Alligator mississippiensis: one gene and its partner. The protein of the gene in region 2 interacts with the protein of the main gene of each other region in a pairwise test. Links are inferred from orthologs where the notes say so. Each region holds a gene or a part of one and is shown on either strand. Other genes may lie near its edges.

Region 1 (9,899 bases), about 190 Mb from region 2:
TCCTGCCCGGCACCCGGGCCCTGCTGCTGCACGCCAGGACCCAGCCGTGCTGCCGGAGCAGGGCTCCCAGCCCGCCGCCGGGGCAGGACCGGGGGGCCGTGCCTCGCAGGAGACATAGCAGCCACTTTGGATGTGTCTCCTCACAGCCGTCCACGGGCTATTAAAGGAGATAAAAGCAGCCAGGCTGTGCATGGCAGGGCATGGAGAGGAGCAGATAGGCAGCCCGTTGCCTGGGGGGAGAAACTCTGGCTGGGAGCCGCCCAGTGCTGGCTCTAATCCTGGCTCTGCAGGCCCCCTCCATCTCCACTCCCATCCTCCTGGCTGCCTGCCTCTGTGAGGCGATGGAGGGCTGCTGAGGGGTCCCTGCTCCCACCCTCTCTGGGGCCTCAAGTCTCACGCCTAGAAGATGTTATCCAGCCATGCTCTGTTTGCCTGGAGCCTGAGTGGGACACAGGCACTGTCATCCTGCCTGGGCTGGGCAATGCCCACAGCAGCCCGCCTGCTCTGGAGTTACCTGCCCCTTTCCCTTGAGGCCAGACTGCCTCCGAGACCTCGAACAAGGAGGCCTGGAGTGGGAGAAGCTCACAGTGCTGGGAGCCACTGCCAGTCACAAAGCAGCCTGGTGGGTCATCTAGAGCACTGGGCTCAGTCCCAGCGCCGCGTGGCAGGCCAGCCTATAATACCCAGCTCCCATGCAGAGCTTTCCTCATTCAGGCCAGGTCAGACCAGACTGCAGCCTACATCCGAGTGATCTCTGGCTGTTGCAATGCCTGGCTGCTCAACATCCAGTGTGCAAATGCCCCACAGCCACTCGCTACCCTGGCACTGGTGTCAGAGCACAGGCATGCAGGGGTTTCAAGTCTGAGGCATTCGGGCATCCCGGCCATCTTCATCTTCTTCCTCATTCCCGGCACCCCTTGTTGGAGGATCAGGGTGGAGGTTGGCCTCACCTGTCTCCTTAAAGCGCTGATAGTGGCAGACTAACAAATGCTTTGCTTTGCTTACCCTGGGTAGCATGGGTACATGGGGTAGATTTCCATGGCCACGAAAGAGCCTGCAGATGGGATGCCTGTGATCATGCCTTTCTGCTCCATGGCTTCTCTCTGGATTTGCCTGGGGGCTCAGAGAGGGAAGGACATCTGTGCAAGGCTGGATGCTCACACTGGGATTCACCTGTGCATTGGGCTGGGTATCTGTGCAGAGTTGGAGCAGGCACTGCAGAGGGGGCTCCCACACACCTGTTCCCCTGCTGTGGGGAGGAGCAGATGACAAGAGCTACTGGAAAATGACCTGACCTGGCTAAAAGGTCTTGCCCCTCTGCTCAGGGTCAAATCAATGCCCTATGGAGTCAGGACCGGGGACAGGCCCCATCTGCAGACCCAGGGAGGGGGCAGCAGTGCAGCCCCTGGGACAGCCTGAATGGACTAGGGACCTACTCTCTACCCATGGCCAGGCCAACAGCTGGGTGCCCATGGCCCACGCGAATGAATAAGCAGATATTTAACTGCTGGACTCTATTTTCTGTTGGCTAATATAAGTGGAGACAGTCCACTTTGCCAGCCAGTGGCCAACGTCTGTGTTCAGTTCTGAATGGGGGCCGAAGTTTTCATGGACCAAGAACCAGGCCTTTTTTTATAGGGCTGATCATCCCACACAGGCTGAGCACCTGCTTGGCCCACCACTGCTGGGTTGTGGAGTTAGACGTGGTTTCCCAGTGCAGGACCCTGGGTTCTGCTGAGGCTGGAAGTAGCAACGGGTTCCCAACAGCCCCGGGTGTCAGCAACGGGGTCCATGCTCAATCCTGTCCTCTGTGTATATATTCAGCCATTCCCCAAGATTTGCAGGGGTGGGGGGCAGATGTGCACAGCCCTACAGCATGTTCCCTGCTTGGCTCAGGGAGAAATTAGCCCAAGAAGAAGGGAGGTAGAGGATGGTGGGAACACTTGTGACCTGCAGTGAATGAGCAGGAGCCCGCGTGGCTGCTTTGTCCTATCCCCTTGGCGTTTCAGAGGTAGAGAAGATGCCAGCTTGCAGGTGGCAAAGGGGATTAATTAGGGATGCACCTGATCAGCAGCAGGCCGGGCTTGAGCTATATAAGCCCTGGGCCTGAGAGGGGCTGGGTGTGTGATCAGGGGATGCAGGCACACAAAGCAGGGCTGAGAGAGAGCAAGACCAAAGAAGGTTTAAAGACAAGAGGAGTGTCTGAGTGTTGGACCTGGATGTTCAGGAGCCAGGCAGCGAGTAAAAGTCAGACCAGATGGTCCACAGGCCCCGAAAAGGGCTGAGAGCTGGACTAGAGGGTCCACAAGTCCAAGAGGGGCTGCGAGCTGGACCGGAGGGTCCGAGAGCCCAGAGGGAAGGGCTGAAAGTATTGAGGAGCCTGGCAAGGGGCTAAGCAGGAGGGACCTCAGATGCCACCATTGAATGATAACATCTGCGAGGCTTGGGGTGTGGTGTAGGGCAGAGCGGGGCCAAGCAATTAGCCCTTTAGGCTACTGGTGCCCTCCAAAGGCACGAGCAGGCTGAGAGGGCCTATCAAGCCTGGGGGGTGAGTTGAGACTAGTATGGCCCCTTTGCCAGGACCGAGGCTCACTCTAAGGCCTGTGGGCAGCCTCCCTTAATCAGCCTTTAATGAGAACAAGACATGGCATCCAGGGAGGGTGACATTAGAGTCCAAGCCGGGCAGGAGCCACACAGCTGCCCCGTGGCCTTGAACTGCTACAGAGGGGGTTTGCCGTGCAAGAAAAGCAGGGCGCAGGGCAGCGGGACAAGGGTGAGCCTTGAAAAAAGCCAGCTAGGTCGGAGGTGCAGCAGCCGGCTCTCCCAGCACAAAGCAGCAATGGGATGTGCAGCAAGCCCTTACTCCAGCCGCATCCTGGGCCCTGCATAGACCTGAAGTAAAAACACATGACGAAGCCAGTGGGAAGGAACGGACTAAGCCTGGGGTGGGGTAACAGCAAACCAGCAAAGGCATGAGATACGGTGTAACAGCAAGGGGCGAGAAAGGCCCCTGGGGGAGGCTCTCTAGATTAATTTGGGAGAAAGAGGAAGGCAGAGGGCAGTGAAGGTCTGGTACTGATGCCAAGGAGGTATTTGGGGCATGCTGGGCTTCTGTCCAGTCAAAAAGGCTAAGTTAAAATGTAATGTTAATGAGGAGATAAGAGTATCGGCCAGGAGGGGAAATAAACAGGTTAAGGAGCCTTCGGTGCAGTCGGGTCAGCAGGAGCTGATGAAATCCTCCCTCGGGTAGTCAAAGAACTAGTCCAACTGATCTCTGAACCCGCAGCGATTATCTTTGCAGTTGTCCCAGACCAGGGGAGAAGGGCAAAAAACACAGTCCCTGTTTGTTTAAAAAGGGGGTCCTAGCAGCCTCGGAACCAGATGAACAGAAACGAGCCATTCATGGCTCAGAGGATGGACGGCAAAGCGAGCTTTTCAGGTTTGCAGATGAGGCCAAGCTCCAAGCAGCCCCAACTACATCATCCCAGCCCGGGCTGTGTCGAGCCGGCCCTTAAAAACCTCCGAGGATGGAGATCCCAGCACCGCGCTGGGTGACTTGTTCCAGTGCTTCACCACCCTCCTAGTGAGAAAGTGTTTCCTAATATCCAACCTAATCCTCCCTTGCTGCAACTTGAAACCATTGCGCCTTGTCCTGTCTGTTAGCAGGAGCATTGTGCGTGCGACACTGGAGACGATCGCTGCACTCTGCGGGCCTCGCTGTGCCCCCGCTTCAGAAACAAAGAGAGTGCCGGCAGTCCAGAGCAACAAGATGGACGGGGGGCTTCAAATCAAACCAGCTGGAAAGGTTGAAGGACCTGGGATTGTTTCGTCTGGAAAAGAGCTAGAAGGAAGCATGCGTAAAAAAAGTGTATTGTCAAGAGGACAGCCATCGGGGAGGAGGGACGGCGGGGGACACGCACAAAACTGGGTGAAAACCAGCGCTCCAGACTAGTTACCGGTGGTTTGCTGTCAAAGCAGGACGGCATCTCAAGGGAGGCCTGCCCTGGCCCTGGGTTTATTCAGTGTTTTCACTGAGTAATAAGGATGATGATGAGAGCTTGGGAAATATGGCTGGGAAGAAAAGGCCAAGAAACAGAGTTTTCCTGTGAAAAAAGCAGGGCAGGGGGTATAGAGCCACAGAGAGAATCGTAGGGTAAAAGGGGCTTTTGGGGGTCCATCCTGTCCAGGATCGTCCCTGACTAAACCATCCCAGACGAGTGTCTGTGCAGCCTGCTCTTGCAAAAGCCCAGGGATGGGGACCCCACGGCCTCTCCGGGCAGCCTGTTCTGGTGCTGAACCACCCCCAGACAGGTTTGCCCTACCCCCCAACCTAGGTCTCCCCTTGCCACAGTTCAGCCCATCGCTCCTTGCCCCGGGGCTATGGCCATCCTCCACAGAACAGCCCCATGGAAATGCTGGGCCGGCGTGCACGGGGGGGTTCGCCTTTCACCCTGTGGATTCCTATCGGAAGTCTCGGGGCTCATCGTGTGAACCCCGGTCGCCCACCTAGCAGTGCTAACGCCACGTGGCACCCTTGAAAGGGTGGCAGCCGGGTTGAAGTGAAGTAGGAGGAGGAACCTTTACATCAGCAGGGCGGCAATGGAGCAGGCTCGGGGCCTCTTCTTTAGGGCAGGCTTCGGGGAGCTGCTGAGACACAGGCTTGGTGCGTGGAGCAGGCAGCTGCCAGCTCCGCTGATGGGATTCGTGGGCAGAAGGCACTGCAAAGGGACAGCGGGGCCGTTCTCCTTCCTCGCAGCCTCTCCCCGGGGTGTCTGGCGCGTGCACGAACAACCCTGTACAGCAGCAGGTCGCCGGCGGCTGCGGTCCTCCTGCTCTCCCTGGGGCACGCGCGGGGCGATGCCTGCTGTGTCTGGGCTGGCTGTGTCGTGCTGCTCAGAGGTTGGGCAACGGTTTGGGTCTGGGCTGGTTTGCACGGGGCTCGTCCTGCCGCACGCCAGGGTTGCACCGGTGTCACTTCTGCAGCTCCACGTCTCCGTGCTTCAGCGAATGCAGAACCTTGGCCCCCTTCCCGGGACCGTGAAACTCTTCTCCTCACCTGCCGTGGGGCAGGGGCAGGGGCAGGGGCGGGGGCTTGACGCCTCTCTCAGAGATGTGGAGGGCTGCTGCAGCCCAGGCTGGGGCTGTGCCAGTGCTCCTGCTGGCACCAACCCCGCAGGTCCTGGAAGGAAGGGATTTCCCCCTGCCCAGACTGGTCTGCACTGAGGGGGCGGGAAGGGATCTCCCCTTGCCCGGGCTGGTCCACACTGGGGGGGTTTGCCCCGTTGCACTGGGGCAGGAAGGGATCCCCCGGCCCAGCACGGCGGGCCCGGGACAAAGCGGGCGGCGGCGGCGGGCGGAGCTCCGGGCCCTGCCCCTGCCCCGCGGCAGCGCGGACACACGCGGCGGCGGCGGCGCCTCCGGCCGGCAGGCGGCGCCGTGGTGCGGTCGGGCCGCGCAGCCATGGCCGGGCGCGCCGCGGAGGTAAGCGCTGCAGCGCGGAGCATCCCCGGGCGCGGGGCGCGGGGCCCCCGGAGCGCCCCAACTGCGCCGCGCCGTGCACACGTGCCCTGCCCCGCGCCCCGCACCCGCCTCCCTCCCTCCCTCCCTCCCCGCCCCGCTGCACAGCTGGGCAGAGCATCGCACCCCCTCCCCTGCCCTCCCCTGCCCTGCCAGGTGTCCTCTCCCCCGGGGGTGCTGCCCCACCGCCTCGCCTGCGGCACCCCCTTTCCGTAGCGGTGCGCAGGGGAAGGTGCCAGGTCGGTCCACCTTTGTCTCGCCGTGCCACGGTCCCTCGCCGTCCGCTGGGTTGCGGGAAGCCCTAGCCCGAGGGGTGGGGTATGGACTCCCCCAGAGACGAAGTGTCTGTGCCCGCAGGTTTCGGCGTGTGCCAGGGACGCCAGGCTCCACCGGGCTCTGCAGCCCTCCGTGGTCCTCAAGCGGACGCCGGTGGGAGCCATGCGTGGCCAGCACGCGGCGGGCTCGTTGGGGGCCGTCATGGCCACGCTGGAAGCGATGGAGAAGAAGGTGGAGTCGCACGCGGTGCGCCTGCTGAGCCTGGAGGGCAAGACGGGGGCGGCGGAGGAGAAGCTGGCCGGCTGCGAGAAAACCGTGGTGGACTTCGGCAACCAGCTGGAGGGGCGGTGGGCCGTGCTGGGCACCCTGATCCAGGAGAACCAGCTGCTGCAGCGGCGCCTGGACAACATGGAGAACCTGCTCAAGAACAGGAACTTCTGGATCCTGCGCCTGCCGCCCGGCACCAAGGGGGAGATCCCGCAGGTAAGGACCCCCGGTCACAGGGCCGTAGTAGGGTCACGGAGAAGTAGAGCTCCGGAGGTCACCTCTAATCCAACCCCGGCCTCAGCCCCGTCCAAACCATCCCAGACAACTCCATCATCTCGACTTTGTGTAAGACTGACCTCAACCCTGACACGACACCGACCGAACACCCGAGCCTGCCGCAGGGAAAGCAGGGAGACTGCGGCGGTCAATGTCTCGCCTCTATAAAACCTGCTCGAGAGGTTCTGGGTAGGGGGCTATGCCCCGCTGCGGAGGAAGGGCCCTCCCTGCCCCCAGTCCGCACCCATCTGACCACGGGGGAAAAGAGTCCTTCCTGACCCCAAAGATGTGATTGGTCTGACCCTGAGCAGAGGGGCAAGACCCTCTAGCCAGGAAACCTTGGCTTTGGTCCCGGCAGGAGAATTGGCACGCCCCCGTTGAAGTTCCCACCCTTAGCTGTAGCCAACACCCAGCGCCTCTGGGGAGGCTTAAAAACACCCTGACAACAGAGGAAAAAAAGGGAGTAGACAGCAAAGCCCAGAAGCTTGGGAAATACCTATGGTAGAAAACAGGCATCGCTACACCTAAATTGCCCCCAACCAGTGACAGCCCAGCATCTTCTTAAACGCCTCCAGTGATGAGGAGTCCTCTACCCCGTTTCTGGGGTTTTTAGGCCACTGCCTCACTGTTCTCACAGTGGAAATGATTTTCTGGATATCCAGCCTCAATTGACTTTACGGCCTTATATCAGCCATTCCCAACGGGCGTTTCGTGCATGGCAGTAGGGACCTGAGTCTGCTTTATGCAGCGAGGAAAGGTGGAGGCGTAGTGCGATAGCTGCAGGGTGGCAGGTCGTTCTCGGAGCCCAGCAGTCAAGCTGGCGATGGCTTGGTGCGCGGGCTGCTGCGGCAGGCCTGGGGTACATCTGCACGCATCTCATGCTGGTTGCCACCTCGTGCGTGGCCGAGGTGTGTGGTCTTGAGACCAGATCCCCAAAGGCATGGGGGGTTGTAGTGCTGAGCCCCTGAGGTCTCCAGCCTCATGCTGGGTGTCTCAATGCAGCGCTTGGGGGCAAGTTGCTGACCAGGAGCTCGGTGTGCTGGTTGCTGACCAAACTGAGCTGGAGATGCAACGGGCAGAAGACAGGCTGGAGCTTCGGTACTTACCTGTGCCACCAACATAGCCAGAGATCAGGGCCTTTCCCTCTGGCTGGGTCCTCAGCAGTGACGCCTTTCCCTGCTGTTAAGCAGCTAAACCCAGTTTTTGTCTGAACAAAAAAGAAGTGGAGAAGCTGGGGTGCTACCCCACATCCACCAAAGGCCCCATGGTTAAAGCACTGCTGGAGTGGGGGCAGACAGCTCGTCCTGCTTTGGTGGGGACCCGGTCACGCATGCGTGCGCAGCATTGCATGTCTGTCTCCTGTCTGTGCAGCATCCAGTGTAGGTGGGCTAGGAGCAGGTTGTGCTGGTGACAGGGGGTGGCTTCGTGCCTGGAGGTAGGCAGCAGGCCCTGGGTGGCTTTGAACAAGCTGGCTTTTGCAAACAGATGACCTCAGGGCTGGGTGGCAGCTGGGGGAACCTCTGCAAAATGGGCCAGGGCACCCCGGATGTGTCTCGAGGTGCATTTGGCTCAATTGAGCATGCGGTGAAATGCAGCCCCTCTCTTATGGGCATGCAGGCTGTTGTTGAAGCTGCTGAGCGTGTGACCTCTGTGCTTGCAGGTGCCAGTGACGTTTGACGACGTGTCGGTCTACTTCAATGAGCAGGAGTGGGAGAACTTGGCCAGCTGGCAGAAGGAGCTGTACAAACACGTGATGAGGGGCAACTATGAGACCCTGGTCTCGCTGGGTGAGCATTTTGTTTTACTCCTGTCTGGGCAGCTGCACTTGGTACGGGCTGGCTCGGGGTGAATCTGCGGGGCCTTCTGGTTTCTGGAGGATTGCAGGCAAGACCTGTTAGGCCATCAGACCCACACGACAAATGCGGTGGAAGGGCAAGCTGGGTAGGATCTCGCCTCATGTGCTCTCTGGGGTGAGCTCTATAGAGTTTAGGACTGGAAGAAATTATTGGGATCATCCAGCCCTGTGACGCTCCATCCTGACTCAGCCAGGAACCAAAACACTAGAGCAAGAGGTGAAGTGTGGCAAATACGCTGCAGTTCGAAAGAGAAATAGCTACAGGGCATTAGTGGCCATTTGCATGGTGGGCAGAGATGCGCAGCACATGCATTGCCTCAGTTATGGAGGCAGGAAAGACAGGCCAAAGGCACGTAGCAAGAAATGAGCTTTAGCGTTTTTTTGCCAAGAGCTGCAGGTGATCAGCTGAAGAGCTTGTGGAACAGGAGCCACGGTCTGAGTGTCTCTGACCTGTCTGATCCACTGCTGATGGGGGAGGCACAGCCCCAGGTGAAGTCCTAAGCCTGGGGTTTGTGGTTTGAGTTAGGCCATATCCTGTGGATAACCCACCGTGATTTAAAGGTCTCGCACTGTAACCCCGTCCCACGCTAAAGGCTGGTAAAACATCACTTTGTGCATGTACTCACGCAGAACTCGGACTCGGCTCTAAGATATCCTCCACCAAAGCTGGTCCCAGGAGCAGCTTTACCGTTTGTTTGGTCTTTTCTGAGTGACAGTCCAATGGTTGCTGCTGGGGCACCTTTCTCCAGATGACTCTCCTCCAAGCCAGGCTGGTCCTGATGGCAGCAGTTGCTTTGGCCCTTCTGCAGTCACATAGGTGCCTGGCAGTGACAGGTCAGAAGAACTGCCCTTCAAGTGGTTGTTGAAGCTGAAACAGGAGGTGTTTGATCAATAAAGACAACACCTTCTTTTAAGCTACCTGTTGTCCAGGTGGTAGAGGTTTTGGCAGCCTTGAAGATAACTGAGAAGTTCCAGGCTTGTTCTTCTCTTGGAGCTTGGCCTCCCCTTGCATGTGTGAATCCCCCTGCGAAGGACAATAACATACCTCCCATGCTTTGTTTTGATGTAGGAACCCTAGGGAAATATTAGCATCCGTCCACACTGCCCACCACCTCTGGCCACTGATTTGAAGGGTTGGCCAAAACCCATGGACAGTTCTGCATCTTGAAAGATCGCCCATCGCTAAGGCTGATCAGCATCCTCTCATGTCACTGAATCATAGACAATGAGGGTTGAAGGGACCTCATGTGGTCACATCTAATCCAACCCCCTGCTCCAAGCAAGACCAGCCCCAACTGCATCATCCCAGCCAGGGCTTTGTCTATCCGGGTCTTCAAAACCTCCAAGGATGGAGATGCCACCTCTCTGGGTAACCTGTTTGAGTGCTTCACCACCCTCCTAGTGAGAAAGTGTTTCCTAATGTCTTTCTCCATTTGCAGACTACGCCGTGTCCAAGCCTGACATCCTGTCCCAGATAGAGCGAGGGGAGGAGCCCTGTGTCAGAGAGCAGCCAGGCTCTCCAGAAAGGTCAGAAGAAGCAGAGGAGAAGCAAGAGGCATGGGAAGAAGGGGACGCCCCTGTGAACACCAGCACAGGTGAGTCACATCGCACCAGGCCTCCTCCCTTTGTCCATCTCAGTCAATCTCCCTGCAGCGCAGCTCTGCTATCGGCACCAGAGCTCTGCCAGGGGCAGGACGCAGGTCTCCAC
Region 2 (9,659 bases):
GAAGCTGGTGCTGAGCATGGGGAAAAGTGGCCCCTTGCCTGCCCCATTGCCGGCGCCCCGCACTGCAGATGGTCGCAGCCCATGTGGGGCTGTCTGAAGCAGGCACAGGCAGCCTCATGTGGGCTGCAGGTGGCTGCAGTGTGGGGTGCTGGCCATGGGGCAGGCGAGGGGCCGCTTTTCCCCATGCTCAGCATCAACTTGTAACCAGCCCCACTGCCAGCCTGGCAAGTGGCGGGGGGAGAAAGCAGACCCTCCCTGCTCCATGCCCAGTGCTCCACGCTTCAGCCACTTGCAGCCAGCCTGTCCCTGCTCCTGACAGCCCCGTGTGGGCTGCAAGCGCCTGCAGCACGGGGCACTGGCCATAGGGCAGGCGAGGGGCCACTTTTCTCCATGCAGGGAAGGAGCCCAGGGAAAAGCTGAGAATGGGGGGAAAGCAGCCCCTCCCCCGCCCCATGCCTGGTGCCCCATGCTGCAGGTGCTCACAGCCCGCATGGGGCTGTCTGGAGCGGGCACAGGCAGCCCCATGCAGGCTGCAAGCAGCTGCAGCATGGGGCACTGCGTGTGCGCGGGGAGGGGCTGCTTCCCCCCCCGCAGCATTCCTTCCTTGCCCGGGGTCCCCGCCCCACTTACCTGAGCTTCCCGTGCCAGGAAAGCCACATATTCCCAGCCCAGAAACTGCAGCTGGGGCTTCTGGCTGGGGGGCGGGGCCAGGCGGCCCTGCTGTTGTTGGAGCCCGCCGGGCTTGCCCTGGGTCCTACTGCCCTTGGTTCCTGTCATTTTTGACAGGAACCAAGGACAGAGAAATATTAATTTTCTACATTTTTTTAGGGACCCCGTGGGCCAGATAGAATGGCCTTGCAGGCTGGATCTGGCCCACGGGCCGTATTTTGCCCACCCCTGCGATAAATAGATTCAGTTTCTGGCTCTTGTATGGAATCATACATTAACATTTTAACTATTTTTCCAAGTATTTGTGTTTTCCCATTTGCAAAATTAAGACAATACTGTTATATTCCCAGATAAACCATACCAAATAATTTTTCAACAAAAATAATTTCACTTTCGGAGCAGGAATTTGCCTTTATGACATGTGGCTTCACCTCTTTGGACTGCACTGTGTTGCTAGAGCCTCTGAGGACATTAAAGTCTCCAAAGCACAAGAGGATCCCCACTTCCCCTCTGTGCTCAGAGCCACGTCCCCTCTCTTCCCATCCTCTTCTCCTTCAGTTAGTGCTGCTTTCGCCACTGTCCCCAGGGTGCGAAAGCTTCAGAGCTGCTCCTGCCTACTCCAACTGAGCTGTTTGGGGCCTGGGCTCACCTACAGCAGTGATAGTGGCAATGGCTTCTTGTGCCTGCTCCTAAGGGAAATGGGCAGTGTGGGGAAACCCACCCCTTTTTCGTTGCTGTTGCCGCTGTTCTTAGCTAAGCCCAGCCACCACACAGCTTGGCTGGAGAGGGAAGGAGCAGCTCTGAAGCTTTCCCTATTCCCCAGACCTTGGGGAAAGCAGCAGCAACTGGATGAGGAGGGGTGGGCTGGGGACATGCCTCTGAACATGGTGGGGAATGGCGGGATGCTTACCTGCTTTGGGAACTTAAAAAGTCCTGAGGCTCCCACAGCATACTCTGCCCACTCTGGTAGGTAGCAGGGGAAGAGGCTGAGCGCAGAGATGTGGCCACTCTTGCACCTACCTTTGCCAAATCTTGGATCCACCCTAGAATAAGATAGAACCAAGGCTGTAACAGTAGTTTATAGGAGTGCTGGGAGGCTAAACTCATTAGTCTTTGGATTTTGAATCCTTGGATGGACATGAGTATAGAAATGCAACATACTAATCTTTCCCTGTCCATATTTATATTCTGAAAATGTGGAAAGTTCTGATACAGGTTTCCCTCAATATATGCAGTAAATGTGTTTTTGGAGTACAGTGCATAAATCAAATTTGCATAAAGTGAACCCACTTTATAATGTAACAAATAGGAATACATTCCCATGGTGGTGAGGGAGGGAGGGAGTGAGGCTGGGACTAGGAAAGGGGTGGGGAGAAGGGTGCAGCGCAGCCTGTTAACAGCTCCTAGGGCTGCAGGAGGCAACAAAGTGGCAGAACTGTGAGTGGTTAAGGCATAGGAGGGCACAGTTCTTGCTGCTACGTACCCCCTGGGAGGGCTGCACCGGGCTCTTTGGGGTGGGGGGCAGGCCCCTGGATCTGCACATGGGACAACAGCAGGCTGCCACTGCAGGCTGGGGCTGGCGGCACCACCGGGCTCTCCCCAGCGCTCAGCGGGCAGGTTGGGGTGCTATGGCAAATTTTGGGGTGGCAGCAGCCCTGCTACAAGCACCGCTGCTCACCTGGAGCGCTGGGAAGAGCCCGGTGCCACCACTGCCCCCAGCCTTGCTTGCAGGAATGAGGCAGCAGCGCTGGGAGGGGGGATGCTGCCACCACAAAATTTGCCATAACTCCCCCACCTGCCCTCTGAACACCAGGGAGAACCCGGTGCCACCGCCAGCCCCAGCCTGCAGCGGCAGCCTGTGGTTGTCCCACGCACAGATCCGGGGGCTTGTGATCCCCTGGGAAGAGCCCAGTGCAGCCCCCCCCAGCCTACAGCCTTCCTGGGGGGGCGCATAGCAGCAAGAGCTGTGCCCCCCTGTACCCCACACCCACTTATAGTTCCTGCTGCTTGCTACAGCCTGGGGCCCCCACTTCTCCCCACTCATTCCAGCTGCTGCAGCAGACCCGGGAGCAGCCGACACCACCTGCCTGCACCACGGCATGGCACAGCGCAGCCCAGGGGCTGGGGTGAGTGGGGACAAGCGGAGCCCTGATCACATAAGAGTGAATTTACCTCACATATAAGGAATTTTGGGTAGAAAAAGGGTGATCGCATAGGAGCAAATTTGCATATATGGAACCCTTATAAATGAAGGGAAACCTGTATTTCAGGGCCCAGCTCATAACTGCATGGGTATGTCTGTCTTCTGTATTAGTCTCTACACAACTGCTAGCTGCATAGATGTTACTTGAAAAAGTGTCTTGGGGTGTATGAGTGATTGTGTTCAGAGACACTAAAATGGTTGTTGGCTTTAGAAAAGCAAATCCAATAGCCTGTTGTATAACAGGATCAGACACTGTAATGAGCTTATTCTGTGAGTTAAGAGTTCATCAGCCGTACTAATTTCTAATGTAGGACAATGCTAAATCTTACTTCACCTTGGCAGTGAGCATTTCTTGAATGCAAACACTGAAGAACAAGATGGATTTGAATCTAATCAGACCCATATAACCCATATAACAGTTGAACACAATTTTAGCTGTTTTTAAAGGTTATCTTATCTCCCATTTCTCAGAATAGTAACAGCTTCCCCCACTTTAAAATTTATACTGTTTTGATGTAAGAATTCCCTTTCTTACCAAAGGACTGGAAAAAAGAAAAAAAAGTTGTCCTCTGAATTTAGTTATCTTTTACCACCTGTGTTATACATATTTTTTATAAAAGAAACATAATTTCTTTTATTTTAGGTATGTTACCAAAACTTAATAATAATTCTTAGCAGAAAATAAATTCCATCAAAAAAGGCTAAAACAACCATATGATCCAATATTTTCTTATTTTACTACTGAATTTCCAATCAATGAGTCTCCTAATAATTCTTTCAATTAGACGCAAGCAGGGTAAAAAAAACTATTTTATATTATTTAGTGAAACAACTTTGTTCATATTTAGGTTATACTCAAAGCCATGGCATACATTATGAGAAATGTAAAACGTGTTTACTTGCTGTAGGACAATAACGCTTTGATGTGTTCCTCCACTGTATCCTACGACAACAGAAATTTCCAATTAAATTATTCCTTTCTCTCTGCAAATTACTAACTAGATCATCCTGTGTTTTAATGCCAAAAGGCTTGAAAGTATATTTTTAATAGTTCTCACTGGAGTTTCAGGAAGATTATTTTACACTGATTTAGTCCTTCTTAACTGAATATACTATAGGATATACATTTTCCCATTAAGTATATTTCTTTCTCTGCATCTTCTACACACAGTTTTCCCAAAAGGCTTGTCCTTCTATCTTTGACAGTCCATAAAAAAATAAATGATGCATAGCAAAGTGCTTGGGGAGTTCCTTTCTGAATAACATCAACTTTCAGGAACAGCTGCTAAGATCAGATAGACAACTAGAATGCACACGCGGTGCCTCTTAAAGATACAGGCATGTAATCCTCCTCTCTGGACAAAGAGAGTCATCCAATCTGTCACCATCACTGATATATGTCTTCTATACAAGTCTGTCCTAGTTTTCTCCTCCGAAACAGGTCTGAAACAAACAGAATCTGCAGTATAAAGTCCAAAGTCTTTGCTATTACTCTTTAAGCCATAAAATAATAAATATCTTGCATACTGTGAAGAATGATCTTCCTGGTTTAAATTCCTTTAAAAATGTGTGTATATATTCTTTTTTAAAGAAATATCTACTGCTATGGTGGCCAAAAATATACAAAACCAAAACAATAGCAAATATTTCTACAGTATCTACAAAACAGTAAGGTTGTGCTTTCTCCAAAAGGACTGAGTTTACTAGCCTTGTAAAAATGTTCTTGTCCCCTTGCCTGGAGGAATCTTTTTGTTGTTTTTAAATCAAGAAAGGATCCTTAGCTTTCTATCCTGATGGTAACTGGTAACTGTTGTGTTTAGGAGGGTTTTTACGTTAGTTTTGTAAGGCGGATGTTACTTTAGCTACAATTATGCCATCTACCGACTGATTTTTGAGCACGTTCTTGAGCTAAGTCAATCCAAAGTACATTCAGTGAATCGCAGTCATAAGAATTCTTGTCTTTAGGGATATCAAAGACGGCAGCAGCAGCACCAGGGTGCCACCACAGCACCAGCAACACGCTGGCCCCATAACAGCCCTGTGGGAGAAAATATTTGGGGGGCTGAGTAAAAGGGTGCCCACCTGCACCCCACCCCTCTCTCCCACAGGGCTGTTGCGGGGCCAGCGTGTTGCTGGTGCCGTATGTGGTGCTGTGGTGACACCCTAGTGGTGCTGCTGCCGTCTCCAGCTGCTACACAATTAATTTGGGGGAAACTAAGCCCCGTTAGCTTCAGCTTTCTGCCATCTATGCTGCTGTGGAAGTGCTGGTCCACAAACAAAAGCAACATTGAATGTTGCCTCTCATATTAAAAACACAGGGAAAGAATCGGTGCTTGACAAGTTCAGAGAAAAACCATGAATGTCACATTTACAAAAAAGGGCATTGTGAATAAAATCACATCACCGACTCAGTTCTCATCTTTTAAAGCTTCTGTATCCCGTTCCTCTCGCATCTTTGCTTCCAAGGCTTCCCCAGCGGTAAGAGCAATCCCACCCACCAGGTGGACGGCTTCGCTCCTGCTTTCCCTGCCGGTGGCCTGCATGGCTCCTCCTCACACACAGGGCGGGCCTCCAGTCTCGGGCAGGCCTCAGACCCTGCGGGTCCGGCCCACCTGGGAGCTACCCTACCTGGTTGTGCTCTCCCCTGCCCATCCAGCTGGAGCAGGATTTCCCTCGGGAAGGCCGAGAACAGCCCCTTACCCTGGAAGGAGCTGAGGAGTCGCGGTCAGGAGCAGGGGCGCAAGGAGATGCCGCTAGGTAAGTCAATACAGATCACAACTAAGCTCCTGCCTCGTCTGCCTGTGTCGAATTGAACGCACTTTGCCACGAAGGCAACAGGCTGCTGAACTGGAGACCGGGCCCTGTTGGGGAAGTGTTCGCCAAGGCCGAGGGGGCAGGGCGGCCGCGCCGCCAACAGGCACTGGAGCAGGGAGGCGCGGGCTCTCGCCTGCCTCCGGGACCGGGCGAGGAAAAGGGAGGCGCAGCGCGGGCCCGGCCCGGCCACGTCTGGTCCCCGAGGCAGCCCCTCCCCGCCTGCGGCAGGTGCGTGTCGGCCCCCGGGCCCTTGTTGCCGGCCTCCTAGCAACCGCGCGGCCAATGGGAGCGCGGGGGGGCGGGGCCGGGCCGGGCCGGCGGCACCCGCGGGCTCTGGGCTGAGACTCGCCTCGCCTAGTCTGCTGCGCGGGTGAGTGCGCGCGGGGCGGGGCACGCCACGGGGGGCGGGGCGTCCAACCGTCCTCCCCTCTTGGCACCGCCCCCGGCACGTGCGCCCGGGAGGGGGAGGGGAGGCTGCCCATTGCTGCCGGCCCAGGGAGGAGCGGGCTGCGCCGCGAGCCCCTTCGGTTCCGGCTCCTCCAAGACGTCATTGTGCTGGGCCCCATGTGTGACGTGGGCGTGACGTAAGCAGGGCGCGGGCACGTGGCGTTTTGGGGGTGCCGGGGGGAGGCCGCGCGGCGAAGCGGAGGCCGCGGGACAGGTGGAGCAGGGCTGTGAAGCGGGCGGGGCTCGGCTTGCGGAGCACAAAGGTCTGGGCCTGTCGCCAGGTGTCGGAGGCGCGGGAGGGCCCCGGGGGGGACAGCCGAGCGCCTTCCCTGGAGCTGAAAGGAGGAAAAGCTCCGGGTGCCGCAGGGCTGCGGGAAAGTTTGCACTAATCCGGGCAGCCGGGCGGTCGCAGCACAGAGGATAACTGGCCGCCCGTTGCAGAGCCGGCTGGCGGAGGGTGTTGGTGGTGGGGAGATGTGTGTGGCACCTGCGGAGTTGCAGACCTGGCTGCAGCCTTGGCAGGATTCATTTCTCCAGCAGCAGCGGAGCGAGACGAAGATCCATGGTCTGTGAATGGTAGGAGGCAGCAGGGTCGATCCTCGAGACCACGGGCGCCGGCCGGCTCCATGGGTGCTCTGGGGCTCAAGCATCCACTGAAAAAAATTAGCCAGTGCTCAGCATCTCCAGAGCTGCCTGCAGATGTTAAAAAACCCCAACAAACAAAACTCCCGGTGCTTTATGGGAAGAAGCAGCACACGGCTTTAACCTGGCTCTACAGCGTCTGTAAAGATGGAGTGCTTCAGTGGGGCTTTTTGGTGTTTTTAGCTAGAGGTGATTCAGTCTTTACAGACCGGGTAGCAGTAACACACTGCCTCTTCTGGATATGCATAGGGCTTGGCACGGGAATGGTCCTGGGTAAAAGTAAAGAGCCATTTTTGTTGTTGTTTTTATGCCTGCAAGCACCACCAGCCACAAAAAAAGGTGGCACCTATGCTCGAGGCAGTAGGGGATGCAGCGGCGCCTAGTGCAGGTGCGTGGCACGGGTAACTCCACACCTCCACACGTAACATCAGTAAAGAAGTGGAGGATATGCCTTGAAAGTAGTGGGGCGGGGGTGAGGACTGTAGTGAAGCAGTTGTCCAACTGTTAAACATATAAGTGACTTAGCACAGATATAAACTTGCAGATTTCTTTTGTGATTGTAGCTGTATTACAGATCAAGACAAATAAACCTCTTATTTGTTAAATTAGTGGAACTGATGAATACAACTAGGAGCCTTCTAGCAAGGGTGTAATGTACTAATAAACTAAATGAAGACTATACAGGCCTGCAGGCTGGACAGATTAGGACTTGTGTTTTCCAAATTTACTTTGGAGTTGACTAGGTTAGTTTGCTATGTCAAACTCCTGAATTAAGAATACTCGTAGAATGTAGAAAAGTGGTGGTAAAATGTAACCCGTTACCCTCCAGGATTCATATAACTAATAATGCTCAAGTAGGATCAATTTCTACAAACTAATATAGAGTCTATAAATCTCTAGAATTCATTCTGTCCATAGGTAGTGTCACTAAAGCTATAATGAAAATCATTATTTAACATTATTTTTAACATACAGAGGTGGTAATAATTGTGAGCCACATTATTAAAATGCCTGTAGCAAAAATAGCAACTGTCAGAAATGTGGAGGTGGAGGGAATACTTGGATTTTCAAGGTTACTGCATAAATAAAGCAAATGAGTTGCTTTTTATGACATTTTGAAGGATAGATGTAAAAATGTAAGCTAATGACTACCAGCAGGGCTCAAATTTACATAGAATCTATTTGTTTTGTTTCATCCAGATAGCCATCTGTGGAGGCGATTAATAGATAAATCTAAAAACTTTAAATAGGTTCACAGCTCTTTTTGGAATCCAATCTTAGCAGAAGGACTTGTATTGCATTTTAAGTAAATGCTTACCTTTTGTGGCCTTTATATTCTCTGAACAAGTTTTTATATACTTTCAGAGATGTAATTTGCAAGTTGAAACACCTTTCAGCAAAATTGTAGTGTCTGCTGTGTTTGGTTGGAAGACTGGTTCTTGTTTCTTGGTTGATATAGTGTTGTCCCTTTTAAAGAGCTGTTCTACATCAGAAAAAATGTAAGATGCATCTGAGAAGAAGATAAAAAGCTAATTTGGGGGCAGGAACATTTTGGAGAACCATGTACTTTATTTTTCATTTGTGAAACTGTCCATGTAAGTTTTAAATGATTATACTACAGTGTGTTTATCTTCTGATGAACATGTGGCTGAACTAGTTTTTAGAATTCAGTTATGTTGATAGCTATTTCTATTGAATTTAAATCTGACATTCAAAATCTATGCTTTGAAAAAATAATGGTGTATGTGTTGTTGTTGGGCTTGTAATTCTATTACATGTGATTTTTTTTTTTAAATTGAACACTTAAGACCAATTTATTACAGGAAATCTGTCTGACTTCTATTTTAAATCATAAAGCAATGATTTGCATTAGGAAGGAAACAAGAAGATAATACCATTTTAGAACATGCTGATACGTTATTGCTGAAAGGAAAAATATGTTGCTCACCAAATCGTGTAGGGGCTTAAGGGAGCATATGGTAGGTGTCTACCAGAAACCAGGTTTCCTAAATAGAAAGAGTATTTTTTCAGAGTCTAATTCCAACATGTAATTAAAATGGCAGATTATTCCAGTTTCTTAGCTATTTCTGCTCTGGTGGATTGATTACTACTTTTTGGACATCTGCCAAAGCATTCTTTGATCTAGGATACAGTTGAATCTTTCAAGATTTTTTTTTTTTTTTTTTTTTTTACCAGCAAAGAGTATGAGTTTTTCCATCTGGTACATAAATCCCGCCCCCCTGGAACTGAGGCCTAGGTGTACATTTTTGGGAATTTGCCTAGCTTTGTTCTCTTCAGGAATTTCTTCAATGGAACAGCAAGTGATATTGCCAGCTGGCAAAATTACATCTGACAGTTACTGGGACACTGCAGGTTGTAGGCATATCATCAGAGCTGTTGGCTTGCAGAGAAAAATTAGCTTGCAAATAGTAAGGCTTGAAATACAAAATCTTTGAGCATCTGAAGCCACAGTGGCCATTAAGTAATTCTCTGTGGTCACCAAGTGATTTCCTGGCACCACCAAGTGATTGATCCTATCAAGCACTGGACCTGTCTGCCCTGCACCCACAACTTGGGGTCCTGGCCAGTCTCTATGGAAACCTGCTGGGCTGCTCTGGCGCCCCTGGCACTGAGTGCAGGGCAGACGGGCCCAGGGCCAGATAGGATCAATTGACCCTCCTGCCCCGCAATCACTGCTGTGCTGGGCCAGGCCGGGTTAACCCTGCCCCCTGCTGAAGCTCACATCTCACAGAAAGTCCTTAAGTGGCCTTCCAGCCCAAATCATTTCCCACTCTGGTCTTGCAACATGTTCTGAAGGTGGACAGATTTTTTGCAATGAGCTTCCAGATTAGTTATGCCAAATCAAGCCACTTTAACCAAGAAC

The links.
Region 1: the proteins of SSX2IP (region 2) and zinc finger protein 777 interact in binary tests that used the Homo sapiens proteins (3 or more experiments, as listed by UniProt). The two-hybrid records come from large-scale screens. The link is inferred for Alligator mississippiensis from reciprocal best matches to the Homo sapiens genes SSX2IP and ZNF250.

Annotation. Positions count from the first base shown.
Region 1 is NC_081828.1:218,303,291-218,313,189, reverse strand, and holds the start of zinc finger protein 777, read left to right. Parts: upstream 1-5,397; 5' UTR 5,398-5,460; coding exon 5,461-5,481; intron 5,482-5,492; exon of another isoform or gene 5,493-5,756; intron 5,757-5,874; coding exon 5,875-6,276; intron 6,277-7,996; coding exon 7,997-8,123; intron 8,124-9,630; coding exon 9,631-9,786; intron 9,787-9,899. Other genes in the region: histone H2A, read left to right, coding at 1-164. UniProt on the Homo sapiens protein: May be involved in transcriptional regulation.
Region 2 is NC_081828.1:28,254,576-28,264,234, reverse strand, and holds the start of SSX2IP (afadin- and alpha-actinin-binding protein), read left to right. Parts: upstream 1-5,478; 5' UTR 5,479-5,629; intron 5,630-6,136; exon of another isoform or gene 6,137-6,270; intron 6,271-6,454; exon of another isoform or gene 6,455-9,659. UniProt on the Homo sapiens protein: Belongs to an adhesion system, which plays a role in the organization of homotypic, interneuronal and heterotypic cell-cell adherens junctions (AJs).